7 linked regions of the Sus scrofa genome follow. The protein of the gene in region 4 interacts with the protein of the main gene of each other region in a pairwise test. Links are inferred from orthologs where the notes say so. Each region holds a gene or a part of one and is shown on either strand. Other genes may lie near its edges.

The links.
Region 1: the proteins of CREB3L1 (region 4) and TMEM11 interact in binary tests that used the Homo sapiens proteins (3 or more experiments, as listed by UniProt). The two-hybrid records come from large-scale screens. The link is inferred for Sus scrofa from reciprocal best matches to the Homo sapiens genes CREB3L1 and TMEM11.
Region 2: the proteins of CREB3L1 (region 4) and PRKAB2 interact in binary tests that used the Homo sapiens proteins (3 or more experiments, as listed by UniProt). The link is inferred for Sus scrofa from reciprocal best matches to the Homo sapiens genes CREB3L1 and PRKAB2.
Region 3: the proteins of CREB3L1 (region 4) and TMEM218 interact in binary tests that used the Homo sapiens proteins (3 or more experiments, as listed by UniProt). The link is inferred for Sus scrofa from reciprocal best matches to the Homo sapiens genes CREB3L1 and TMEM218.
Region 5: the proteins of CREB3L1 (region 4) and SLC35B4 interact in binary tests that used the Homo sapiens proteins (3 or more experiments, as listed by UniProt). The two-hybrid records come from large-scale screens. The link is inferred for Sus scrofa from reciprocal best matches to the Homo sapiens genes CREB3L1 and SLC35B4.
Region 6: the proteins of CREB3L1 (region 4) and FXYD6 interact in binary tests that used the Homo sapiens proteins (3 or more experiments, as listed by UniProt). The two-hybrid records come from large-scale screens. The link is inferred for Sus scrofa from reciprocal best matches to the Homo sapiens genes CREB3L1 and FXYD6.
Region 7: the proteins of CREB3L1 (region 4) and FXYD3 interact in binary tests that used the Homo sapiens proteins (3 or more experiments, as listed by UniProt). The two-hybrid records come from large-scale screens. The link is inferred for Sus scrofa from reciprocal best matches to the Homo sapiens genes CREB3L1 and FXYD3.

The regions. Positions count from the first base shown.
Region 1 is NC_010454.4:61,350,302-61,352,861, forward strand, and holds the end of TMEM11 (transmembrane protein 11, mitochondrial), read right to left. Parts: intron 1,282-2,560; coding exon 765-1,281; 3' UTR 501-764; downstream 1-500. UniProt on the Homo sapiens protein: Plays a role in mitochondrial morphogenesis.
Region 2 is NC_010446.5:100,377,357-100,381,343, reverse strand, and holds the start of PRKAB2 (5'-AMP-activated protein kinase subunit beta-2), read right to left. Parts: upstream 2,801-3,987; 5' UTR 2,775-2,800; coding exon 2,619-2,774; intron 1-2,618. UniProt on the Homo sapiens protein: Non-catalytic subunit of AMP-activated protein kinase (AMPK), an energy sensor protein kinase that plays a key role in regulating cellular energy metabolism.
Region 3 is NC_010451.4:52,275,267-52,278,766, forward strand, and holds part of TMEM218 (transmembrane protein 218), read right to left. Parts: intron 3,160-3,500; coding exon 3,025-3,159; 3' UTR 1-3,024. UniProt on the Homo sapiens protein: May be involved in ciliary biogenesis or function.
Region 4 is NC_010444.4:16,185,706-16,189,948, forward strand, and holds the end of CREB3L1 (cyclic AMP-responsive element-binding protein 3-like protein 1), read right to left. Parts: intron 1,670-4,243; coding exon 1,402-1,669; intron 1,228-1,401; coding exon 1,191-1,227; 3' UTR 501-1,190; downstream 1-500.
Region 5 is NC_010460.4:14,904,322-14,907,821, reverse strand, and holds part of SLC35B4 (UDP-xylose and UDP-N-acetylglucosamine transporter), read right to left. Parts: intron 3,144-3,500; coding exon 3,034-3,143; intron 1,737-3,033; coding exon 1,661-1,736; intron 1-1,660. UniProt on the Homo sapiens protein: Antiporter that transports nucleotide sugars across the endoplasmic reticulum (ER) membrane in exchange for another nucleotide sugar.
Region 6 is NC_010451.4:45,215,450-45,219,697, reverse strand, and holds the start of FXYD6 (FXYD domain-containing ion transport regulator 6), read left to right. Parts: upstream 1-1,448; 5' UTR 1,449-1,952; intron 1,953-2,185; exon of another isoform or gene 2,186-2,359; intron 2,360-4,248. UniProt on the Homo sapiens protein: Associates with and regulates the activity of the sodium/potassium-transporting ATPase (NKA) which catalyzes the hydrolysis of ATP coupled with the exchange of Na(+) and K(+) ions across the plasma membrane.
Region 7 is NC_010448.4:44,646,405-44,650,570, reverse strand, and holds the start of FXYD3 (FXYD domain-containing ion transport regulator 3), read right to left. Parts: upstream 2,801-4,166; 5' UTR 2,648-2,800; intron 1-2,647. UniProt on the Homo sapiens protein: Associates with and regulates the activity of the sodium/potassium-transporting ATPase (NKA) which transports Na(+) out of the cell and K(+) into the cell.

The sequences.
Region 1 (2,560 bases), on a different chromosome or scaffold from region 4:
GGGATCAGCACTTCCAGGCCCCTCGCAATCGGGTCAAGGTCTCTCCAACTCTCACAAGCCCTGGCTCTTCCCCCAGAAAGTGGCCCCCGGCCCCCCTCCGTTACTCTCTGGGATGGGACCTTCCTGAGGCGCCTTTAAAACGAGCAGAAAGTCAGTCTGGTTGCCCTTCGAGGCGCCTGGCAGAGGTCTCGAGAGGCTGCAGGGCCAGGGCCCCGCCTCTTCGGGGGAAGGTAAGCGGGGAGCGTGGGGCTCCCCTGGGCCCGGGCCCCCATCGGGACGGCCTCAGTGCTTTCAAGGTGTGGAGGTGGTTCCCGGCTCCTCCCGCGTCAGATCCCTGGACACGACCCAGCCCCAGCTCTGCAGGCGGCCGCCCGGCCGTGCCGCCCACCTGTCCCGCCAGGTCCCTGAGCAGCACGGAGGGTCTGGGCCTGCCCGTCGCCAGGGCTGACACCCGTGCTGCCCACGCCCACCAGGGCCGTCACGGAGAGAGACACCGGGCGGAGGGGAAATTCTCATCACTTTAATGGTCAACAGCTCCGGCTGGCTCTGGGTGGTACAGTTACCGGATGTTCTCAAGGACCCCCGAGCGCGGTCGCCCCCCCGCAGCGCTGCTCCCACCACATCCTGCCGCCCCGTCGGAAACCCGCACCGCCGACCCCGGGGTCGCGGGACCCACGTCTTCGTGGGCTGAGCCGAGCGCCCCGGGGCCCCGGTGATGTGTCCTTCCGTTCAGCGGACAAGCGTGAGGCCGGCCGCCTCCCGGCTCACACGGCGCAGAGCTCGTACACCTTCTTGACACAGTACACCAGGGCCGCCAGCGCTATCGTGTTGTGCAGTCTCTTCCTGTGCAGGTCGTCCTTGCGGACCAGCACCACCGGCGTGGAGGAGGTGAGCGTGTGCAGGGGCAGGCGCGACAGTTTGTAGGCGTCGTACTCCACCTGGTACTTGCAGCAGGGGTCGAACTGCCAGGAGATGCCGTAGAGGGTGCAGCAGGCCAGGCTCAGCACGCCCGCGGGCAGGGAGACGTAGTGCGAGTAATCCAGGGGCAGCGCCAGCGGCGTGAAGAGGCAGGCGGTGCCCGCCAGCACGGTGGTCTTGTGCAGGCAGTTGCCCACGGTGATCCAGCGGGCCGTCTCGTCGCCGATGCGCGTGGGCTCGATCACGATGTACTTGTACTGGGCCTCCAGGGCCTGCTCCAGCTCGCACTCAAACTGGTCCTGCGCGTTCTCCCCGCTGTAGATCTCGTGCACGATGTAACAGTCCGTGGCCGCCAAGCTCAGCCTGCGGGGGGGGGGCGGGAGAAAGGAGCCGTGAGCGGGGCGCCAGCTGGGGGGGCCCCGCCGAGCTCCGGAGGGCGCGCACGGCTCCCCGGGCCGCCCCCTTCCCGCCCTGCAGATGGGGCCGAAGAAGCAAGCCGTGGCCCACGAGAGACACAGCAAGGGGCCCTGGGGCTCCTGCGACAACATCTGTGAGGATGGCGGCCGACGACGGGGGCGGCCTGGCAGTTAAGGCAACGCAGGGTCAGACCCGTGAGTCAGCAAAGCCCCAGGGAGAGGGGGCCTCGGGCCCACGACGCGGGGACAGAGGCCTGTGACGGCAGGTGCGCCGTGCCCTCAGCCCACCAGGGCCACTGAGCCCGCACGGCCCACCTTCACGGGTCCGGCCGTGGTGGACGGAGAGCAAGCTGCCCGGGTCCTCCTGGGGCGGCAACGCCAAAGCCCCCCCAAGGGCCACCTGGCCGGGAGCGCCCCACTCAGTGCCTCGGCCTTGGGCGCTGGGATGAGGGTCCAGGGGCCTCGTGTTCCTGCCGCTCTGACCCTGTGGGCCCAGGACTCTACCTATGGCCACTGAAGGCGTCTCACCCACGGAAGCAGCCCATGCAGCGACCCGGCCTGCCGGGGACGTGACGCTCACCAGCAGACAGAGCCCAAGCCCGCGGGAGGCCTCAAGCGGGACCTCCCACGCCGGACGCAGGACCCAGCGCCTGTCACCCTCTGGCTCGTCCCCGCCCATCCAGACCCTCCACGCTGCCCCCCAGCACAGCCGGTTCCCCCAGTTTGGTCTTCACTGCTCATCTCGCAAGAAGGCTTCTTTACCCCGGCCTCTCCCAGCTGGACGGGTGGCTCCCTCTGCATCACGTCACCAGGCCCTGCGAAGCCACCTTGTCACCTGCCTTCCCTTCAGTAGCCCCTAGTCCCCCGACCTGGCTCCTGGTGGTCACTGTGCCCCCGGGTCCACGCCCCTCAACCTGGGGCTCTGAAGGGTGCCCCCCAGCAGCAAGAAGCACAGCGCCGAGGGCCCAGACTGCAGGACAGCAGCCCCGAGGGCCCCACGACTGCAACAGGCCCGCCCAGACCCTCTCCGTTCAGCATCTCCTTTACTGAAGAGGGCAGTTCCGTGTGCAGGGGGCAGAGACGGGGCTGCCAGGCAAACGCCAGGGGAAAAGGACTGGTGGCAGGAGAGCCGCCACTGAGTGCGCCTTCCTGTCGTGGCTCCCAGGTGGGGTTCAGCAGTAGAAGCTCCCCTGCAAGCAAATAAGCAAGGCCAGGAGGCAGGGCTT
Region 2 (3,987 bases), on a different chromosome or scaffold from region 4:
TAAAAATGGCAGAGGTAGTCTACCTTCTGTACTGTCTCTCCATATTCCTCAAAACTACACTACGAGACACCAGTAGCAGCATAAATCCAAAGTAAACAGAGAAAAAGAAGGGACTTCCACGTTATATAAGGAAATGGCTTAGAGAATTTTTTTTTTTTTTTTTTTTTTTGTCTTTTCTAGGGCCCCACCCGCAGCATTTGGAGGTTCCCAGACTAAGGGTCTGATCAGAGCTGTAGCCACCGGCCTACACCACAGCCACAGCAACGTGGGATCTGAGCCGCATCTTTGACCTACACCACAGGTCACAGCAACACCAGATCCTAACCCACTGAGCAAGGCCAGGGATCGAACCTGCAACCTCATGGTTCCTAGTCAGATTCGTTAACCACTGAACCATGACGGGAGCTCCTAAAAAATCTTGATCTCCATTTTCTCAAAGCAATGAGTTCTTGCTTGACAGGCTGCATTAGAATTAGAGAAATTTTTACATATGCCTAAGAATTACAAATGCCTCAGATTCTGATTCAAATATAGGGTCTGGGAGTCTATTCTTAAAAAGCTTTCCAGACAATAACACTGTGATTATGTTAAAAATAAAGAAACCTCATCTCTAGAAATGTATCCTAAAATACTAATAAAGTAATATTTGATATGATAGTCTGGAATTTGCTTCAAAATAATTGGTGAGGGTAGAGTGGATGGGGGTATATAGGTGGTACAAATTCATTCATGATTTGATCATTGTTTAAACTGGATGACAACTATACAGGAGTTCATCACACTGTTCTCCCTGCTTTGAAACATGGACAGTGTTTCAAATTTTCCATGAAGTGTTTAAACAAATTCCAGCCTATTCTAATTGAGAACCAGTAACTAGTCCACTGAAGAGGATGGCCCCACTGCCACTGTTTCTATCATTTACTTGTATGATTTAGTATTTTCAGTTTAGAATTTGAAAGCTACAAACTATTAATATGCTTAGCTTTGGAAGAAAGCCCTTCCACGGATAACGTGACATTTCTGTGGCAGGCATGAGTGCAGCTGACTAGCAGAAAGATTGTTTACTCCAAGTTCAATAGTCAGCAAAATCTTCAGGAAAAGTGGCAAAATAATTACAACTACAATTGAAAAATGTTTAAGTGAAACATTTAGGGAAGAAATAAAGAGAGCACATTGAGTATAAAATCTTAGATTCTGAAGAGACTTTAAGAATTATCTGAATCCATTTTCTTATTTCATGAATAGCAAGACTGAGGTAAGGGAAAGAATGATCCAAATAGACTCCATTTCAAATAGAGCAACCTGCTTTTATTCAGGATGCCAGTTACTGCAGTCACCATTTGACAAATAATACATTACTTAGATCCTGAGTCATCAATGTAGGGAAGTGGGTACAAAGCTTTGAAAGAAAGCTTTGAAGAATTTTGAAGAAGTTCAGATGGCTGAAGAGACAGCCCAAATGTTGAGAAAGAAGTCCCGAAGTGGGAAAAGAAAGGAATGGAGGAGAAACACCGAGAAAACATCTTCACTTCTTTTTGTGATTATGTTCTCAGTTGGTACTTGAAAAAATAAACTGGAGAATCCATATTTCCCACGCTATCAACCTGGCAAATTATTCTCTCTTTAGGAAAGTAAATAAAATAAAACCCCACACTGGTAGGAAGGGATAAGTGACAAGAAACATCAAACAGACCCCCCAGCTGCTCAATCTGTTTTTCTACTTCATTTTATTCTACCTGGAGGAATTAATGTATTTAATGCCAGCAGCTCTAAAAGGGATTAGAAACATTCAGGTGGTAATCACATTGCTGTCAGCTCCAACTTTGCTTTTTGTGGGGTGAATACAAGTTTTCTCCTCCCTGAAACAAGTCCTTGGAATTGAGAACAAGGTCTTCAAGGCTGCTGTGGATTGTTCGTTTTCAGCGGTGGTAACATGATGAAGTACTACTGGGAAGTGGAGAAATTCTGGAATTAACCTGCTCTGGCTCTTGAGTAGCGGCTGGAAGAAAGAAGCAGCTCAGCCACCATAACTATAAAGTATGAGATGAAAATGAGCAGTCCACCAAATGATGTCCTTTGTTGACCCCCACTAGGAGAAATTATTCAAATAAGCACGTGGTTGCCACTCACAGCCATGCCAAAGGGGAAAAGGGATCTGAAATGCTGAGCTCTCAGAAGAGCAAAGATGATACTCAGACAGAGAAGCTGTCAGGAAACAGAAATTCATTTGCCCACCTCAGGGCAGATGAGAGAAACGGCCACCTAAATGTGGCCCTCAGGTAATCCACCCTCCCCAAGGCCCACAACCTACAAATTCATCGATACCCTAGCAAAGGGTACCCGTGTCTGTTGGGAGAACCAAGAGTTAGGTCTGTTGTCCTCATCCGAAAATGCGGCCAGCAGAGGAGTCGCCTAACAAGAACTCCACCTCCGGGCTATTTTGAGGCAGCGCGGCGAAAGGAATGATCATTCAACATCGCAGTCCCCGAGAGAGCCTTTAGTTCCCAAAACCATAACTCAGGTCAGTGTGATAAGAAAGAAATCCCCAAACGGAGGAGGAGCCCCGACACCCACCCTGCTGCAGCCTCGCCCCCCGCTGGGGGCGTGGGAGCGCTCACCTTGGAGTCGGGCAGGCTGAAGAGGCTGGGGTCGTCGGTGCTCCCCACCATGATCTTATGCTCCTTGCCCGGGGCATGGCCGCCCGCGCCGTCAGCGCGAGCAGCCTTGGCGCCGTGGCGCTCCCCGGCCACCCGCTCGCTGGCGGTGTTTCCCATGGCTGCAGCTCGGAGTCGGGGGCCACCTGCCGTGCGGAACACAAGGCTAGGAACACCCCGGCGGCTGCGTCAGGAGCACCCCCGGCCCCGCCCCTGTGCCTGGGGACCCGGGCAAGGGAATCCCCGCCCCAGGGAGGCCGTGCCCGGGGGACAACCTCCCCCTCCCCGGCCTCCAGAAGCGCCCGGAACCCCCAAACCCCCTGGTTGCCGGCGGCTCAGGAAACTCGCTTTCGGGAACTCCCCCTCATCCCTGCGCTCACAGTCCAGGGGCGCCCGCCCCCGCCCAGTCACCTCCTGTAAATTCTCCCTCCTCCCGAGGCCAATGGTGCGATGGCTGTTCCGCTGAGAAGCCACCAATAAAGTTATTGAAATTGAAGCCGCGCCCGGGGCTAGCGAGCCGCGGTTCCTCCTAAAATGGCCACGAGGCCAGCGGCGCGGTGCCCGCCTAGCGCGCACTCCCTGTGGCCGTACCACCGCGGCGCCCGGGGCCCGCCGGCCTCTCTAGCCACCGCCGGCTCGATGGTGGGCAGCGGCGCGCAGCCTCCAGGGCCACGCGGGGGCGCCCGCTCCGCAGTCCGCGGCACGCAGGGCTGAGATCGCTTCACTGGCGAGGCTGTGCTGAGACTCGGTTGGTTGAGCCCCAGGGCCTGCCCTCCGGAGGGGGTGGTCCCCGAGTGACTCCAGGGCTCCGTACCCAGAGGAGCGACTTTGCCTTTCTTTCTTATGTTGTCTTTCTGGGGGGCTTCCCTGAGAGGTGGGTTTCTACAGGAATCAAGAAAGCGGGCTTCCAACAGAAGGCTGAGGAAGTAGTGGTAATTGCTAAGTGCTGTGGGAAGCAGTCAGCTGGACTGGAGCCGCGGGGAAGGAGGAGTGATGAGGAGATAAATCTTGACAAATGGTTAAACTTCGTCTAAGGAGAAGGAGAAAGCCCTGCAAGGCTAAGAAACAGCACTTGGTATGAGCAACCCCTGAAGAAATGAAATTCAAGAAAGAATGGAAACATCAGAAAGAACATTAAGGCAGAAACGGGCAGCGACAGGCCTCAGGTTGTGACTCATTCACGTTTTGAGTGATAGTTAATGAGATTGCTATGGGATTTACTCATTCTTCCTTTGTGTTATTAGACGCACGCATGTTTCATGACCTACTGGAAGCTCTTGTCACTCAGCCTGTGTTCTAGTGAGGAGCAGCATGGGCGTCACCTGGGAGCTTG
Region 3 (3,500 bases), on a different chromosome or scaffold from region 4:
AGGTTGCAGACGCGGCTCGGATCCCGCGTTGCTGTGGCTCTGGCGTAGGCTGGTGGCTACAGCTCCGATTCGACCCCTAGCCTGGGAACCTCCATATGCCGCGGGAGCGGCCCAAGAAATAGCAACAACAACAACAACAAAAAGACAAAAAAAAAAAAAAAAAAAAAAAAATTGTGATTTCAGCATGTAAAGAATAGGATATTCTGAAGTATTGGGATGGAAATAGAGACTAAAGATTGAACTCCATGGACTATAAAATGCCCTCCAACCCTGAGCTTTTATGCTCCTGAGAAGATAATCAGCATTTCCTCAGATTCTCTTCTATGCAATTCCCATTCCCCGCTCTGGAACCTTGCTCCTATGTAATAAAGCCAAATACTTAAAGGTTTAAGCCAAGAAGTTATGATAAAATGTTATCTGTACTATAAATGTTAATGAGGAATTCTTTCATGAAACTTTTGTCTTTTTTTGGATATGGGTCAGGGGAATGGTGGGTGCAAATAGCTAAGAAATAGTATTACCCAATGTAAAACTAAGGAGTTGTTTGAAAGCCAAAACTGCTCTTTAAACTACCTGAGAAATGAGGTGACAAGATCCCATTGTCAAATTTGAGCCCCACTACCTAACTAGCTGTGAAACTTTTAAAATCTCTTTATCTCTCTGCCTGTTTCTCATCTACGAAATAACTGCAGCAGGTTTCTTTACACACAAATAAAAATCAGAGCAAAATAAAACTGTTTCAACTGCAGCAGCAGCAAGAGACACAGTTGATAGAAAAGTTTATGTCTTAGAGAACAGAACAAGAAATGGATTATGTTAGAATTAAAAACATTTTCATCCCAGGATGGAGTGAGGGAAACAGCCTAGGAGCCTCAGAGCCTCCTTCTTGGGGTGATTTACAGCACCAGGACGAGGCTTCACATCCAGAGTAAACACAGTAAAGGCGGAATGAATGGTAATGCCTGCTCTATGCACGTGGAGGACGGGCAGTGCATTCCCTAGTAACTGAACATTGTACAAAAACTTTGGAGAATTTTTAGATGTCCGATATCGTGCATCAGTAAAGAACGTTAGCTTTACTTCTATTTTATGAGAGCTAGAAGGAACTTGTTAAAAAAGAACCTAGCGTTGTTTGGCTGGCCCGAGGGCCTTCTAAAATGCAGCACAGCGCCACCTAGCGGATCAGACGAATGTCTCCGTGGTGGGGGTGGCGCCTTGCTGATTTGGTTTTGTCAGGATACAATTTTAAGAGGCAATGAAATTACCTGTTTTCTTTCTTTCGTTCGTTCTTTTTTTTTTTTAAGGGCAGCATATGGAAGGTCCCAGGCTAGGTGTTGAATTGGAACTACAGCTGCCGACCTATACCACAGCTCACCACAGTGCCAGATCCTTAACCCACTGAGTAAGGCCTGGGATCGAACATGCATCCTCATGGATGCTAGTCAGATTCGCTTCCACTGAGCCATGACAGGAACTCCTACCTGTTTTCTTATATGGAGGCCCAGATTTACTCTCCCTTCCCCTGTGGGATCACTACATCTCTTTGCCACAGGATCCCTTCTGGGGAGCACAACTAGCTCTAGGGGCATTGATCAAAGACCAATGAATGGAAACTGAGACGATCTATTTGTATTTAAGCTCTACCTCCAGGAAGGCCATGAACAAAAGGGTGCCAATATTATCTATTGATTATCAGGGTGCCCCATGCAGAACTCAGTAAAATTAACTTTGTGCCCTCCCAGCCTTTTATTCTTATCCCAACTCTGTGGGTTTGCTTTTTTTTCCCCCAGGGTTGGACATGACTGTTTTGAGTATGAAGGTAGAAATTGATCTAGTATTCAGTTCACCACTGCTGGTAGTTACAGGAGCTACAGAAGGCAGGCCGAGCTAAAATACACTTTGTACAAAGTACGTTTTTGCCCTTAACATGGAAGTCCGTCATCTACATCTGTGTAAAAAACAACAACAACAACCAACCAAACAAACAAACCCAGACTAGTGTACTACTGGCATATACCATGTACTCAATCAAAATTCTTTTTCCAATTGTTTTCTGGTTCTTAATTTTAAGCCAGAATCTCCTTTTTCAAATAGCTCTAGGGAGCCACAATGAGACTTCCAAAGTGGAAGCAGCCGAGAGCCCCTCTGTTTAATGACAGATTTCACTTGGTCTGGGGTTTAGGTATAAAGTTATGCCTAATCCCGGGAATATACATTCCTCACTGGCTTTGGAGAAAGAGCTACAACGATGAAAGAGATGACAATAACCCAGAATGGACTGTTATGGTAACTAAATAAGGCAACAAAGGTCACTCAATCCTAGGAAAAAAAGAATCCAGAGAGACAGAGCAGTAGGACAGACAAGGGACATTTCCACACCCTGCTTCTAATCCCCAAGTAAACTCGAAATGCTAAATTCAGAAAGCTGCGGCCAGGAGTCTGAGGTGAAAAGCAGTCCTTCGGCCACTGTTGATGGCTTTCCTGGAACAGTGAGAGGTGACACATGGCCTTTGCAGAGCCCTGAGGCATGGTCTGCACAGAGAGCTCCATATCCAGCACCTGGATGTGTTCCCAGGTCATCCCTTTAAAATGAACTTTTCAACTTTGAATGCCTTTCTTTTCCAAGTGATCTTGACCTTTTAACTAAGAATTTTACATATTATCAAAAAGGACCAGGTTCTTCTATTGGACAGCAGAAACCAAAGTGCTCCTTTTCCCAAAATCCACATGCTGATGGCCTGATTGAAATCTAAGCAGACACTGTTGCCATTTCCCTCTCAAAAGAGATGGAAAACCTGAAGTGCAGGTGTTAAGAAGACAGCAATATTTCTCCTAGGATCCCAGGGACAATTCTGCAACCATGTTTCTGGAAGCCAGGACTCAAGGGGTTTGTCTGAGTGATGAATAGATGTTCCTCTGATCTTAAGCATGAATGCTGTCAAGACAACGTTCCAACAGTACCTTTCTGCTCACTGATGATATCAAAGCGAGGGGAGGAAAGGTCTTGGTCTTCTTGAGTGTTGCTCAGTAGGACCGAAGTGGTTTGGCATAGACTGGCTCCAGGATGTGATGGACTAGAACCAAGAAGAGGCTCCCCAAGAAGACAGCAGTGAGGAAAGCCAGCAGGACATAGCGGCCAATGAAAAAGGTATCAACGATCTGGAGAGGGAAACATCAAAAATGAAATTATGATCACTTCTGCTCCCTGGCCATGGCTCATTTGGAACTTTGATGAATGGGCAGTCCATGTTTGTAACTTCCAGTGACATCCTGACCCAAGTCTACTCTGTAAATGGATAGGAAAGAACCATTTTCTCATGGTTCTGAGCTGGAAGTACAGGGAACAAATGGCTTGATGTAGGAGGTTCATAAATACTCTGAAGACCCTGGACGAGTTCTTTTATGTTCTGAAATCAGTTATCTGAAAGAGTCCATGAGAAGCTTGCTTGCTTGGTCCTGGGAAGGCTCATTTGGTTGTTGTTAACTTTTCATTAGGGAGA
Region 4 (4,243 bases):
TGCCAGATCCTTAACCCACTGAATGAGGCCAGGGATTGAACCTTCATCCTCATGGATACTAGTGGGGTGCATTACTGCTGTGCCACAGCAGGAACTCCTGAAGTCTGTGCCTTTAATTCAGCTAAGGCAAAGGACACAGAACTAAGAAACTGGCAGGTCTTAGAAGGACCACCCAGGGTACTGCATGTCAAGTGCCTGGCGCAGCGCCTGGCCCGCACTAAGCCTAGTTCCTACCGTTAAAGGCCTCCCGGTGGCTTACATGCCTTTCTGCGTCTATAGCCAGCAACAGTGGGTACTTGGGAGCCTTAGAGGGGGGTTGCAACAGAATTCTTTGACCACCTGGTTTGAATTCTGCACCTGCCTGGAAGAGGGCGCCCAATACAAGTGCTTTCTCAACCTCCTTGCCCCAGTCGCCCCCCTCAGACCATAAAATGAACTTTCCTTTATCCCTCAGTCCCACACCCACTGCCCAACCATGAAGAAAGGCACAAAGTCAGGAATTGATGCTGCATCTTTTTTTTTTTTTTTACTTTTGCCTTCTTAAAGCATGTGCTGAGCGGAAGGGTGAAGCGGTTTGGCAATTAAAAAGGCCCAGCAGCTTGGGCAGCGGCAGGGGGAGGCCAGGTGAGGGGGGGGTGACCCTCTTTCCCCGGCCAGGGAGCAGCAAAGCCCGCACTAACTTCATAAAATATCAAACAAGGGGAGGGGGAAGGGAGGAGGGAGATTTGTAAAATACAATATCTTAGGGACTGGCAATAATAAAAAATAAGGTTCATTATTTACAAACAATTTCTGTTCTTGGTCTGTACAGTGGGGGGGAGGGGGTGTGTGTGGGTCTGTTGACGTGTCTGTGGGGGTGGGGTGGGGGGGGCAGGGGAGCAGTGGTCCTGTTGGTCATTATGAGAAGGGAGGGGGGAACCCAGAGAGTGGTTTATCTGAGGACGGATGGCTGTGGGAGCGAAGGGTGAGAGCAGAGTGGTTGGCCCAAGGGAATAGTCCAAATGTGGGCGGGGAGAGAGGAGAGGCCCCAGGTGAGATCCGGGGCAAAGATGGGCTGGGGAGGAGTGGAACCCTTCCTCCTGGGACGGGACCCCAGGGGGCAGGGGTGCGAGCCGGATCCGGGTGAGTGAGCAGGACAACCCCCTTCCGGGTGCCGGGGGGCCGTCCTGTGTCCTGGGTCTTGGCACAGCCTAGGAGAGTTGGATGGTGGTGTTGGGCTCCAGATCCCTGGAGGGAGAAGGGAGAGGAGAGAAGTTAGGGGTGACTGTCTAGCCCCTCTGCAGGGTGGATCTGGACGTGGGAGGGATGGTGGCTAGGAAGGATGTGGCCAATGACGTGGGGACCGGGGGGGGGTGCAGGTGGAGCCTGGGACCCCAGGAAGGGAAGAGCCCACCCACCCACCTCTCGTGGAACCACTCCTTCGGGTGGGAGAAGTCAGGACTGGTGCTGTTTCCGGCGACATCCTTTGGCCAGGCCTCACTCAGGTACTTGCTGGTCTCGTGGGTGCTGTCCAGGTGGTCATGCTGCAGGTGGTCCTGGGGGCGCTGCTCCGCCGGCCCCCCGGGCTTGATCTCCCAGCCGTCGGGGGGCTCCACAGGCAGCAGGGCGCTGCGACCATCCTCCCACGAGCCTGCCCCCTCGTCGTAGAACAGGAGGCTTCGGGAGGGCACTGAAGAAGGAGCTCAGAATGAGCCACGGTGCCAGGAGGCTCCCTCCCCATCCGGACCCCATTCTGGGCCTAGTAGTTAAGGACACAGGCCCCAGAATCTTGCAGGCCTGGATCTGAACCCAAGCTCTTACACTGTTGAACTGCCTGACTGCAGGCAACTCACGCCTTTGCTTTCACCCTTCTGAGCCTCAGTTTGCTCATCTGTAAAACAGGAACACGAGGGCCAACCTCATGTCATGTGAGGTTTAAATGAGATAATAGAGGCAGCGCAATTGAAACTGTACTCAGAGAAAGGCAGCTCTTCCTGAGCAGAGGGCAAGCACTGTGCTGGGGATCTGAGAGCTGGTTCTGATCCTATTGTACCCACTCATTTTCTGTGAGACCGTGAATCAATCTTTTCCTCATTCTATAGATTCCCTATTGTGGCTCAGCAGTAACTAACATGACTAGTATCCATGTGGATGAGGGTTTGATCCCTGGCCTCGCTCAGTGGGTTAATGATCCAGCATTGCCATGAGTGTCTGCGACCGCAGCTCAAATCCCACGTTGCTGTGGCTGTGGTGTACGCTGGCAGCTGTAGCTCCGGTTCAACCTCTAGCCTGGGAACGTCCATATGCCATGGGTGGCGCCCTAAATAGACAAAAACCAAACCAAACCAAAAGAAGCCTTTTCCCCATTCTAGGCCCTCGTTTGCCCTTCAGAGAAATGAAAAGCAAGAACACACATTTGTTGGATATCCGTTACCTACCACGCAGTGCAGGCATCCTTTAGTCTAGACCGAATCATTAACATCTCATAGAAACCCTTAGAAGCAGATAATAAATTTACCTCCATGTCAAGAATAGGCAACCGAGGCTCCAGGTTGTCAGGGACGTTGTCCCACTCTGGAGGCGAGATGCAAACCCAGGCCTGCCTGGCTCCTGTCATTCTCAGGACCCCGGCCTCACAGTCAGTGACAGGCCCTGGAACCATGCAGTGTCCCTGCTCTGCAAGCCAGCCTGCTCCAAACGTCATTTCTTCCCACAGACGTGTCCCCCTCTTTGCCATTGGGTTTGGACATTGGGTTTGAACCCCCCTGCATTCACCAGGGTCACCCCGAGGGGCTCCTCTGACTCTGATTTTGTCCATCAGTGCTTCCCCCAACCCCCAATTTCCATTCCTTCTTCTCCAAGGTTCTCTCTACTTCCCAACACACACAGGCCTCTCCGGCCTTGGAAAAATGGACACGTGGCGCTCCAGCCCTTACCTCCCTGCCGCCTGCCTCCCTTAGCAACTGTCCTCTTGTCTCCTGCTCAGGCTGCACTGGTCCAGGGAGTGGTGTTCACTCCCCACCTCCGCTTCCTCTTCCTCTAACCCTGCCCACACCGCTTCCTCCCCTCAAGGCCCAGCAGGCGCAGCTCGGTATCCCTCCTTCTTGAAACTCGCTCCTCCTCAGCATCTCTCTCTGACCTCCCATCTGTTTCCTCTTCCTCCTCCTGTCCCGCTAGATAACTCCCTCCTGGTAGATGAGGAGGGACCCTCCGGAAGTTCCTTTGTGGGTCTATCTGAAGTAGCCTCTGCCTCTGGAACTCCATACTACTTTTTGCTTGGCCTTTGCAGTTCTGCCCTTGTATCTTTTCTCTCCCCTTGGGAGCGCATCCAAAAGGGAGGGAGTGTGCTCATTTAGGAAGCGCCTGCTGTGTACCAGGCACTGTGCTCAGAGCCTACATGTGCTGTGTCATTTAGTCTTCATAACAACCATGCTCAGGAAGTGTGGAACTTGTAACTCCCACCTTCCGGGTAAAGAAACGAAAGCTCAGCATGCTTAAGACACATGCCTGAGGTCACACAGTTAGCAAGCGGTAGACATGACTGACTCTGAAGCTCCATGCTCTTTTCTGGGGGGCGAGGCATGCCCCCAGCATGCAGAAATTCCGGGGCCAGGGATGGAACCCCAGCCACAGCAGTGACAACGTTGGATCCTTAACCTGTTGAGCCACCAGGGAACTCCTGAAGCTCCATGCTCTTAACCACTGTACCTGACAATCCCTGGTGGCATGGTAAATACCTGAGCCCACATCACTGCTACCCCACCATTGCCCATGATAGAATTACCAGTGGATCCTGGCAGTCCATTCTGTTGATCCTGAACAGTGCCTCAGAGTCCTTCTTAACACAGTGCTTCAGGCAGCCACCACCACTCAATTGCTACTATGGTCGTGAAATACTGATGATGCTTAGCAGATGCCCCACAGCACCACAGTACGTGGGTCTAGGGTGGGATCATTCCTGTTATTCCCTAAACCTACCTTCCCCACCTCCCGCCAATGCTGGGAATTGTGGGCTATGCATTGTAGTCCTAATTCTATAATAACATTGAACAAATCATAGGCCCTCTGGGGGTCTCAGTCTCCCCAGCTACAAAATGAGGAGGCAGAATGAGAGGATGCCAACCCCAAGCCTTGCTCCTCTATGTGTCCGGATTCTGCCCATAAATTGGGGCCGTTTGTGGGGAGGGCACCCTGTGACCTGGAGATGGGCACTTGCCACCCGCCTCTACGCGGACTGAATCATGAGCCACTGCAGCGACTGACC
Region 5 (3,500 bases), on a different chromosome or scaffold from region 4:
GGGGGGGTTGATTATACAGCATAACTGAAGGAAGTCTAACAAAGTGATGTTGAGATCTGGTTAGTAAATGAATATTAATTTTCTTCAGCAAAAAAGGTCATATATATAAATAAAAGATAATTTGTTCTAATTATATATCTGGATTAGTGGTATTCTATTGTCTTGGAAACACGCAGCAAGTACTGACTTGAAAAGAAAGTTAACGAATGTTATTGTGATTCAGTAACTTCCGAGATCCACTGTATTTCCCACTCTGCTGGGGAAAGACAATCAACAGGGCTTAAAGTACTCAGACGGACGTTTAGTTCTCTTAGAAAATTAAAGGCTAACAGGTCCGCCTGAGGCACAATCCAGGACAAGCAACACCAACAAAAACACACAGACTTAACAGGGACAATTCTAAAGAAGTTGAAGGCAGATTCTAAAAAATAATTTATATAAATACCCTTCCCTGTGATTTTCAGAAGGCGAATTTTGGTAACTAAATGATCAATCCCAAGGAACTTGATAATGCGTTTATTTCAAAGCCCTTTGCTCTATGGGGACTCTAGCAGACCTGAAAAACCACTGTGTCACAAATCAGCTATACGTCAATTATATCTCAATTAAAACACGTCAGAAATGACTGAGTAATTCAGAGCCTTAAAAACTTTCTTACACATGACCTTCCCCACACACTTTTTGGCAGGCAAAATGGAAGGGGCAACTTTGCAAACTCAGAGAACAGTCACAACTTCGTAACTCATGACCAGATAGCAAACAAATGTTTACTGAGAAACTACTGTCATTCTACAAAATACACTTACCATTTTAGGTCTAAGCAACATAAAGCCTTAATTTAAAAAAATGTTTATTTGTTCCTTGTGTATTTATTTGTATGTATGACACGCTATGTCTTTTAGTACACCATCGGACTGTATCAATAATTCTTTTTTTATTTCAATTTAACTAGCAATTAATAGATAATTTGTTAAATAGCCACTTTAAAAAGTAATAGCTGGGGGGTGGGGGGATGTGCTTGGGCTGTGGGGTGGAAATCCTGTGAAATCAGATTGTTATGATCATTATACAACTACAGATGTGATAAATTCATTTGAGTAATAAAAAAATTTAAAAAAAGTAATAGCTAACTTATACCACAGACATTTAAACTCATTTTGCTTATTCCTGCTATCTACTCTGTAACTAGGAAAAAGACCTGTATCATTTTTGCTCCTCCTTGCATGGGGGTAGCTCAGCCTGGATCTGGGAGCAGATCTGCCTTTCCCAGCCGAGAAGGATGAACAGGAGTTGAGAGAGCCTGCACTATTGCCAAAATTCTCATGGCTCCAGTCTCTGCAGAGTTATTACTGTTTATCTGCATTTTCAGGATTATCAAACATTCCACATTCAAATGTACACACACATATTCCAAAGCAAAATCAAAAATTTGAAGACACCATCTGTCTTCATTTGCGAATAACTGAGAAGTGCCTGTAAAAGCTTTTGCGGCAGCAATTACCAATCAATGGTACTATATTTCTGGAAGGTGGAATGGGGATGGTTTCAGGGGATGATTTGGATACGATCATGAAAAAAGAAGTGGTCAAGCCAAGAGTAAAACTGAGACACACTGCTTCCAAAACTGTCAAGTAATTCCACTGGATAATCCCAAACTCACCAGATTTATTGAATAGAACTGCATGGTCATAAATATCAGAAGCCAAGAAGATGAAACCAGGAAGTGGAAGGGCATGCTAGGGAAGAAACATTTCATGTAAATTTAAAGGCAAAAGCATTACAGAATAATTAGAGTACCTTTACAATGACTGAAAGTTTTACAAGCTATTTAACAAGCAGTATCAAGAAAACCACGTCAGACTTATTAAGTTAAATGCATCCAGGCCTTCTGACCCCTTGACATTGTACAGCATCCTCTCAACCCCCAAATTAGGGTTCTGGCCCTATGGAATCTGATGGTCACTACATACAAAACAAACAAACAAAATAGAGCCAGGATCCTTTCCTCAATAAAAAGGGAATGGAAATTGAAATACATTCTGCCCAAAGGATTTGCTACATTTTACCATTTTGGAGACTGCTTAAGCAAATATAAGGGATTTAAAAGCTAGATGAAATGTGAAAGCAGATTTTAGAGTTGAGGAAACTAGTGGGAAAAAGAGATAGGAGGACAATAATAAAGAGAGATTGACAAGGAAGGGGAAACAATAAGTAAGCAAAGATGAAGGCGTCTGACAACCACCCCCCACCACCACCACCAAGAGAAGAAGGAATCCCTACAGTAAACATTAACCAAGCAGTTAATCAGGTGCCAAGTACTGTGCTACGAGAGCCCAACAGAATACTTTTATTCTTTAAATTCCCCGGCCATACACTCTAGCTCCAATTAAATGTCTCAAATTGCTTGTAAGCAACTTCCACACAAAAAGGGAAGGGATCCCTGCGGTTACTGAAGGTGGAGGCAGCTCTATCCATGTGACACAGAGGGGAGGGACTTGGGCCTGAGCTCCAGAGGAAAGAGGGAGGAGAAAGAGGAAAGTTACAGGAGGTGGCTCAGATCAGCAGTTTCAAACAAGAAGCCTAAGTGTATATAATTAGCTAATTAAACTCCATCAAGGGAACAAAGCCCCTCTGAGGGACTTCTCCTCAGGCCCCTCTCTCTCCAACTCTCCCAAATGCTTCCCTGCACATATTCTCCTTGGCATGTGGTTTCTGGAAGTTCTATTCCCCTTCCAGGTTCCCATATTGCTTTTAACCTGCTTTCCTCCGAAGAGCACTGGGTTTCTTGGCCCTTGGGGCTCTCTCCTAGTTGGCAGACACGTTCTGTTCACACTGACTGATGATGCTCACCCCGTGTAGTAGAGAAGGGGGGCAGCCTATTAAAAGTGCCAAAGTCCGTGGGTCCCATTTTACTGGCTAATAAATTGATCCTGTGACTACATCAGAAGGACGGCCTATCATATCTGGAATAACGTATGACGATAACACCAATTCAGTCATTTTCATCTTCCCTGGGTTCAAGAAATGACTTACGTTATAAAACAAAGCCTCCTTGGAGTGCTTCCCGAACTGTCTGTAGAGAGTCTCTTGGAAAATACCCATCCTTGCTGACATCAGAAGAGCAAAAGTCAGTGCCCCAATACCTGAAAAGCAAACACTGGGTTACGAGATGCCTGCATTTGCTAAGTTCCAGATCTTTTCTTAAAGAACATTAAGCTCTACGAATATTACAAACTAAATGTGGAGCACATACAAAATTTACAAAGATATAAAAAGCAACCACAATATTACCATCCAGTCCTAAATAGTCTGCTATATCTCTCTACATAAACCTATGTATATATTTTATGCTAAGACAGGGTCGTAATGAATATATAATTGAGTATCTTGCTTTCTTCATGATCTTTTTCCTGGATTTCCCTTTAATTCATTAATTTAAAATTTTTTCAAAAGTATGATTTAATGGCTGCATATTATTCTGTCATACGGATAGGCCATAT
Region 6 (4,248 bases), on a different chromosome or scaffold from region 4:
AATGTCCTGCTGTATAGAACAGGGGATAACATTCAATTTCCTGTAATATACTACAATGGAAAAGGATCTAAAAAAGAATATATAAGTATGTGTGTGTATAGATGTATGTGTATAACCGAATCACTTTGCTGTACACCAGCAACTAACACATCATTGTAAATCGACTATGCTTTGATTAAAAAAAAAGAAGGAGGACAAGGGGGAGGAAGAGGGGAAGTAGTGGAAAAAGGGGAAGAAGAAGAAAAGACAAAGGGCAAAAGATACGTATTACTGTGTCTTAGTATTTTTCCTCAGTATTCTGGGATGCCTTCTTAAATTAAATATTTTTTACTATTTAAAAATATTTAAGAATATTTAATATTCTGTTCCCATCTCCTTGGCCAGAACTGGGTCATATGGATGCTCCTAGTCGCTGGGAAATCTGAACACAATGATTTCTCTGTAAGGATGCGGTTGATTCTTGTATTGATTTTTGCTGTGTGACAATGATTTCTCTGTAAGGATGCGGGTTCGATCCCTGGCCTGGCTCAGTGGGTTAAGGATCTAGCGTTGGGCATGTGTTACAATAATTCAAGCACCTAGGGCTTGATCTTGGAAGCAGGCTCTGGCTTACCTAGTCATCTCCTTTATTCACAAAGGAGAAAACTGAAGGCCAGGGCTGAGTCTCTTCCTGGCAGTACCCACGGTCCCAGGGTTCGGGGTCAGTGTGGAAGTACCTGCAGCCCCTCTCAGGCTTGGACAGTTACAGCCTTGCTCAGGAACCCCACACCCCTCATCCTACTGGTCTCCATCGCGGCTCAGGCTAGAAGCCTCACTGCCGACAGCAGGGCTTCCTGGCTACAACAGAGGGGCCAGCCCTTGCCGTGTCCATGTCCGTGCTTTCTGCCAGTGCCTGGCCCAGGGCCCTTCCTACAGGCCCCGCTCCCGCCGCTCGCTCAGTAGAGATGCCTGCTTACCCAGCACTCCCTCTGAGCGCAGGGCTCAGCCTCCCGGTGGGGTGGGGGCTGGTCAGTGTTCTCACATCCCTTTCACAAGGGAGGAAACTGAGGCTTAAGAGCTTCGCTCCATGATGTGCTCAAGGTCACATCACAGGTAGAGACACACAGCTAGCATTTAAATCTTCTAATTCAGTTTGTCGCCTGGAATTTGGAGCTGCGGAGGGGACTGGGGAGGGGGAGGTACTGTGAGCCGGCAGGGACAGGATGAGGGGCCCTGAAAAGGGGGATCTGGGCAGCGAATCTGTGGTTCCGGCGAGCCCCCGCCCCCAGCACCCCTCCTGGCTCTCGCTGAAAATGACAACTCCAACCAGAACCGCCTCGCGCCCACGACACAGCCATTCGTGCCTTAGGTGCACTTCCCCGTTAATTGCCAGGCCTCCCAATTAACGTGGGTTGCTGTGTCTGGTGCTGGGTTATTTTCTCGTATTTTTCTGTTCCCCCCAGTTTACTATCTGGGAGAGGCACTAGCTCTGCCACCGTGTTTGTCTCGCTCCCTCCCCACCCTCAGCCGAGGAAAAGCACGGAGCAACAGCTGGCGGCGGGTGCGCGCCGGGGCTGGCCCGCCCCCTCGCCGACGCTCTCCTGTTGCTTCCCGGAGCCCGCCCGCCCTTTGAAAAAGAATCCCTCCCGCACCCGGGAGCCGCGGCAGCGCGCTCGGAGCGGCGGGCGACGGGCAGCACGGCGACGGGGAGAGGGTCCGCGTGCAAACGCTCCCCGGAGGCCAGCGGACGGTGACACCGCGGTCGCCGGAGCCCAGCTGGGACGAGACCCCGCCCACCAGTCCCCACCCCTGCAGGACGCGCCACTCCAGCCCGTCCAGCCCTTCCTGGGAGGGGAGGCGGAAAAAAGGGAAAGCCTCGCCCATCGCCCTGCCCCCAGCCCCGCCACTCCCAGGCTCCTCCGGACTCGGCACGTCCTCCTGGGATTGTCTCCGGAGGGGACCGCGCTGTGCAGGTAAGCGGCTGCAAAGGTGCCAAAGTTGGGTTCTTCCGAGGAGGGAGAGAGGCTGGGTGGGGACGGGTCGTAGGGCGCCGGCATGCTGCTAGGTTTTGTTTGTTTCGGTGGGTGTGAGCGGTCCTCCCGGGGCCGCTGCCGCTTGGGCGGCGGAAACCGGGTGGTGGATGGAGACCAGGAGGTGGGCGTCGGAAGAGAAGAGGGGCGGAGGGGAGGCAGGCGGTGTCGGTGGGGACGAAGCTGTACTGGAAAGGCACTTGCTGCTGCCTGGAGCTTGTGGCACTGGTTTTGGGAGAAGGGGAAAGAGCTGTTCCCCTCTACATCCAGGGGGAGTTTTCCCTTTGTTACTTGGAAGCTCTGGACACTTGAGTGGAGTGTGCAGATGTGAAGACGGAAGGTGGCTGGCTGTGAGTGTGAACACAGGAGCCATGCAAAATGGGCTCGGAGCTTTGGGGGGACAAGGGGAGCTGGGGCTGGGCAGTAGGCACAAGCGAGGGCGGGGGCGGCAGGTAAAGAAGGGCTGAAATTCCAGGGCGCGGGATTGATGAGAGTGTTTGCATCAATTTTCTTCTCCCCTTGTCTAACCAGCCCCAGCTTCTTCCAGGGGGCCCTGTCCCCTCCTCTCCTTTCCTAGTGCCCAGCCCTCTTTCCCCAGCGGTGCTGCCCCTGGCAGAGCCTTTCCCATTGTGTCTCTTGGGCGTCAGTGCAGAGATGGAAGGGCAGCCTGGGGCTCCAGGCACTTGCTTCTGGGCTCTTACAAGTGGTGGCTGGTAGAGGAAGCTCCCCAGGGTGGGAGCAGGGAGCAGCCACGGTGCAGAAATGGGCCTGGCCAGGCCCCTGCTGCCCACCTCCGGACTCAGGGGCCTGTGGCTGTTGGGGCTTCTCCCCATGAACGTGGCCTCTGTCTCCACTTCCTTTGTCTCCTTGGCGTAGGGCGCCCCCCAGATTTCCAGGTTTGGAGATGGATCAGTGGGCAGCCCCTGTCCTCTGTGGAAGGACCCCTCCCACTCTGGGGGCCCAGCGCCCTCATTTTTTATATGTGTGGATGTGTTTCCGCAACTTGGCCTTTTTCACGTGACCTGCCCGGTAGTTGCCATGGAAACTCCAATTCTCAGCCTCCCTCCTTTTCCTGCCCATGCTTCACCTCCATATCCCCTCCCCTCCCCCCAACATGGTTGCCTAGATACTGGTTATCCCCGACCTCACTGGGTAGGAGACCCTGAGGAGCTAGCTCCCACCTCAAACTGATGTGGCCCCCACCCACTCCAGCTGCCCCCCCATACACAGCACACGTCACAAACACACCTCAAATATGTACACACTTGCCACACCATGCACATACTCACACACACACCGCAATCCTATTTGCCACACACACTACACAAACACACTACACAACACATGTATCGACCACATATATACCACATACACACCTAATACGCCATACATACACCACACCACAACACACCACCCACAATGCTAAGTGTCCACCCTACCATTGCACTGTGTGTGCTTTCACAGACACCCACAATGTCATATACCATTGCTTCCTCCAACACACACACACACACACACACACACACACACACACACACACACACACACACGAGTACTTCTGAAGAGGCCTCCAGCTGAAAGAGAGAGGGCAGTTTCCTGCCTTATCTAGCTCTGTGCCCAGGTGCCTGTAGGGGAGACTCAGAAGGCCAGGAGGAAACATCTCCCCAGGAACCTCCCAGAGGAAGATGGAGAGAAATTCCAGATTCTCTCAGAGGGCGCCTCTCCTAGGTGCTAGATGTAAGAGCCTGGGCATGGACCAGATTTTAAATCTCTCCACAGCTGCTTTCTACCTGCCTTGACCCAAGAAAGCCTGAGGCTCCTGGCCCAGCCCAGGGGTCTTAGCTCTGCCCCTAGATCTTCCTGCTTATAACAGAGTGTCAGGCAGCTCCGGGACCAGCCGGAGGCTCTGAGCCTCCGCTAGGGACTGCCAGGAGAGCAGGGGAGACAGGGAGAGGAGACAAAGCCTGGTGGGGGCTGGGAGGAGAGGGAAGCCAGAAGGAGCATGAAAGAGAGGGGCCAGGTGAGTTTAGAAAGTGTAGGTATGGTGATGGGCAGGAAGAGGGCCAGGCTAGCCTGTCTCTCCCAGGCGTGCTTTCTTCATTTCTCCTTGGCTTCATCTGTGTGTCTAGGAGAGGAAGCGGGTTTGCAAAGGGCTCCTGGATGCCCAGAGCTTTTCCATGATCTGTAGCCTCTCTAGGGGTCTGGTGGCAGACACTGGAGGCCAGGGTCTCCTTCCTGG
Region 7 (4,166 bases), on a different chromosome or scaffold from region 4:
ATTTTTTTTTTTTTTTTTTTTTTTGGTCTTTTTGCCTTTTCTAGGGCCACACCTGTGGCATATGGAGGTTCCCAGGCTAGGGGTCTAATCGGAGCTATAGCCGCCAGCCTATGGCCAGGGCCACAGCAACGCGGAATCTGAGCCGCATCTGCAACCTACACCACAGCTCAGGGCGACACCAGATCCTTAACCCACTGAGCAAGGCCAGGGATCAACCCCAAACTCATGGTTCCTAGTCAGATTCGTTAACCACTGAGCCATGATGGGAACTCCTGGGAAGTGGAATTTAAACCAGATCTTGCTCTGTGGAGGCTGTTCCCAACTGCGACCTCTCTCAGGGCCTCAGGATGGTTTGGGAAATGGGGTGCCGGGAGCCAGGTGGCAGGAGGCCTGGTTCCGGGAGTGTCTCCCCCAGACAGCTCGGAGCCTGCCCGCCCTGCCCAGAATTTGCAGGCCTCGACTGGGCCAGGGCTGGGCACTGAGCTGGCTCCTCTGGCTGCTCAGGGCAGGATGTGGGGAGGAGAGAACTCGGTGGGGGCAGGGGAGGGAGGTGGAGGGCAGGCCTGGGAGCAGCCTCAGCTTCACCTTCTGTCCCACTCTCCCCCTGAACCCCACTGTCCCGCTTCTGCCCTCCCCCCACCCATCACTGCCCCCCACCCAGCCCCTGCCCCTATAAACTCCTCTGGCTGCAAACACTTCCTCCCTCCCCAGGTCGGCCTGCCCAGCTTGAAGAACACTCTGCTGTCCCTGTCCTGCTCCGGTATCTATGCGTCCCCTGGCCCCGCCCCGCTGCCACAGCGTTTGTTGTCCCAGTCTTGATAGCAAGAGCTAACACTTAGATCCACCCTGTGCTGGGCACTGCCAGATGGTCTTGCCAGTTTTCGTTCATGTAATCCTCCAAGAATCCCAGAGGTCATCGGTTATAGGGCCCATTTCACAGAGGACAAAACATATACCCTCCCTGGAGTTCCCGCTGTGGTGCTACGGGGACTGGTGGCGTCTCTGCAGCACTGGGACGATCCAGTGGGTCGTGGGTGCAGTGGGTTTAAGATCCCGCGTTGCCTCCGCTGCGGCCAAGGCCGAAACTGTGGCTTGGATCTGATCTCTGGCCTGGGAGCTCCATGAGCCGAAGGGCAGCCAAACAAGAAAACAACCACCACAACAAAACATATATCCTCCCTAAGCCTGGTGAAAAGCCCTTTGACCTTCCCAGCTCTGTCTCCTGTCTGCAGCCGGAGAAAGGGTCCCGTTTCACTCTCTCTCTAGCCTCTATGGAGCCCCCACCCTGCATGTCTCTGTTTCCAGCACATTCTCACAGACCCTTCCATCTCCCTGTGCCCACCCCAGATCCAGGGAATCCTCTTAGCTTCCCAGTTCATCCCACATTCCAGCCTCACGACTTTAGTTTGAGCATCCATTCCCTGCAGGAAGAGGGCGCGTAGCTTTGGGGAACACTAGTAAGGTGTTCAGGAACCCCCCCAGAACTGGGGGCGGGGGGGGAGAGCTGGAGTGGGTGTGTGGGCAGGACAGCCTAGCGGTTCCCAGCGCAGGTCCATAGAAGGACCACTTGTGGTCACAAGGGAACACGTGTGGCTTTGTCACCCCGCGATAACACTAATACCAGTAATAAGAGCTGGTGGCGATTGAGTGTTGCCCCACGCTGGGCTCTGTTCTCGGCTCTTCTCACTTATTCACACATATAATCTTCGCAGCTTGATGGGGTTGGCTCTGTGATTAGCTCACGTCGCAAGCCTGTAAACGCTATGAATCCAGCTTAATGCTGCCACCTGGAGCTCTGAGTCCCAGCACTTAAGCCTCTTTCTATGAGAGTCTCCAAGCCCCCTGGCCCATGAGGGCTCCAGGCACCCCATCCCCAGGCATTTCCCAGCATCCCCAGCACAGGGAGCACTGATGGATGGTCTCAGCTGCCCCCCCCCCCAATTTCCACACGACTGTCCGTTGGTGCGGGCTGCTGGGAGCTGGTGTCTGGACACCTGCTCTCCCCTTCCCTGTCTAGGAAGGCCCCCAGGCTGCTCCGGAACTGACTGCAGGTGGCGTGAAGGCTTGGAGAGGAAGGCAGCCTGCAGATGGAGGCTATGCCCCCCACCCCTGCTCTTACCTGAGTCCTCAACTCTGGTGTAAGCACTGTTTTCACATCCAGCCCTACTGCTTCTCTCCCATGATGGGGGCCAGGCCCTTCCGGTGTGAGCAAAATGCCTCCCTCGTGTCCCTGAAATCTCCCCACCTCCCCATTATGCAGCTCCCCCAGGAAGCCACCAGACCCTTTTCCTAGAGGGTCCTCCTGTCCCCAGTCCCTAGACAACCCAAGTCCATGAAGTCACCTACCCATCCACTCGGATCCCCAACCCAGACACTTCTCTTTACTCAGAAACAACGATCTACCCAGACCCACCAGTCTCCCAGACACCCCAGTCCCATCTGGGGCCGTACCCTCATCCCAGCGGCTTCACCCAGCCCCCTAAGAAGAGAATGATGGGGAGGGGGGGCTTTCTCTGGTCAACACCCCCAGAAAAAGACCTCGAAGGGGGAAGGCACTAGGAGTCATTAACAGGGAGCACTAGAGGGAGGGGCAGGGATAGTTTGCGGGCAGAGCCAAGAAGGGGGTGGAGGGAGGGGACCCCCTCACCTGCGTGTTCCTGGGGCTGCACAGAGGTTCCAGGTTCCAGGAGAGAGCGGGCTGGGGCTGCTAAGCCAACTCCTGCCTTTATCCGTAGCTGCCACGCCCTAAGCAAACCTGGGCAGGTAGAGAACTAGTCAGACTCCTGAAGCTCAGGGGCGCTCTCGCCCGGAGCCTGCTCTTAAAGAGACAGTCCCCCATCACCACCACCACCACCACCAGTGGGAGGGAGCATCTTCGTGTCTCCAAGGTCACAGCAGCTTAGGTGAGGCAGAAGGAGAATAGGATGAAGGCTGTAACTCTGCCTCTCCCATCTGGGGCGGGGGCTTTCTCCCATCTCCCACCCCTCAGAAGAAGGCCTGGAGGAGGAGAGGCTCCGGTCTTTCACAGGGAGCAGCAGTGGGGAAGGCCATGCCTTGGTGTCATAACCTAATTTCTTTTACTTAGATGGTGTGTTGTCCTTGGAGGAAGGATTGGTGGCCATCGTGGGGGATCTAAAGTCCTCTTCTGGGCCACTCGTTCCCGTTGACACAGTTTGAGGGTCAGCGGAAGCTGATAGGACCAAGGTCATGAGGTGGGGGCGGGGTGTAGTGGGGGATTGGGTGAGGGGGTGGGGGGTGGCTATTGGGCCTCAGACCATGACCTCTTCCCCATTGTGCCCGTCGTGGCCTAGAGAGACTGGGAACTGGTTCTCAGCACCAGGCAGACTTTCCCAGCCTGGGCTCTTCCTAAGGGTGCCAGGAGCTGGATGTCTACACCACGGGAGTGGGCGCAGGGGCTGCCCCTTACCCAGATAAGGCCATTGCACTCTGCAGGCTCCCCTCCCTGCCCTCCTCCCTCTCCTGCCCCTCCTCCTTGCGGCATTCCTTCCTTCCGGATGGGGTCTGTACAGGCCCCCACTTGGTCCCCGTTGGGGTGCCCCCTCCCCCCAATTCTGCGTTTTTTAGACAGAGGGACTTTTGTCTGGGGGCTGGATGGAGAACAAGGCGCCTTTGAGTGGCTGGCGGAGGATCGGGGTCATGGGGAGGGGCAGGGCCAGGAAAGGGGTGGCTGTGCATGGCCACCAGCTGGACTCCAGGCGACCCCCGACACCATCGCGGGGGTGGGGAGGGGGCCTGCAGGAGCCAGGCCAGAGAGAGGGTTCTAAGGGGAGTGTGGGGTGTAGGGCAGGGAAAGGCAGTTTCGAGGTCAAGGCTCTGCTGGGGGCGGTCTGCTGGGGGTGGAGAAAAAGGACCCCCCACTTCAGAGCCGGAGGGATGGGTTGGAGGGTAAAGAACATTCATCCAGATACAGCTTTCTTTATGTGAATCCCTGGGGCAACTTCTCAATCCCGGGCCTAGAAGGGAACAATGGCTCCCCCAATCCCCATTAAGGAGGGGCCTGCCAGTCCCTAAGAGGAGGGTGCTCAGGGTGGGGCCCAGTCACAGCAGGAGGTTCAGAGGGAGATAGAAACAGAGACAAGGAAGCCTGGTGGTTGAGGAGCCCAGTCCAACCGAAGGGGGTCTTTGTGTCTGGGCAGGTAGCATCT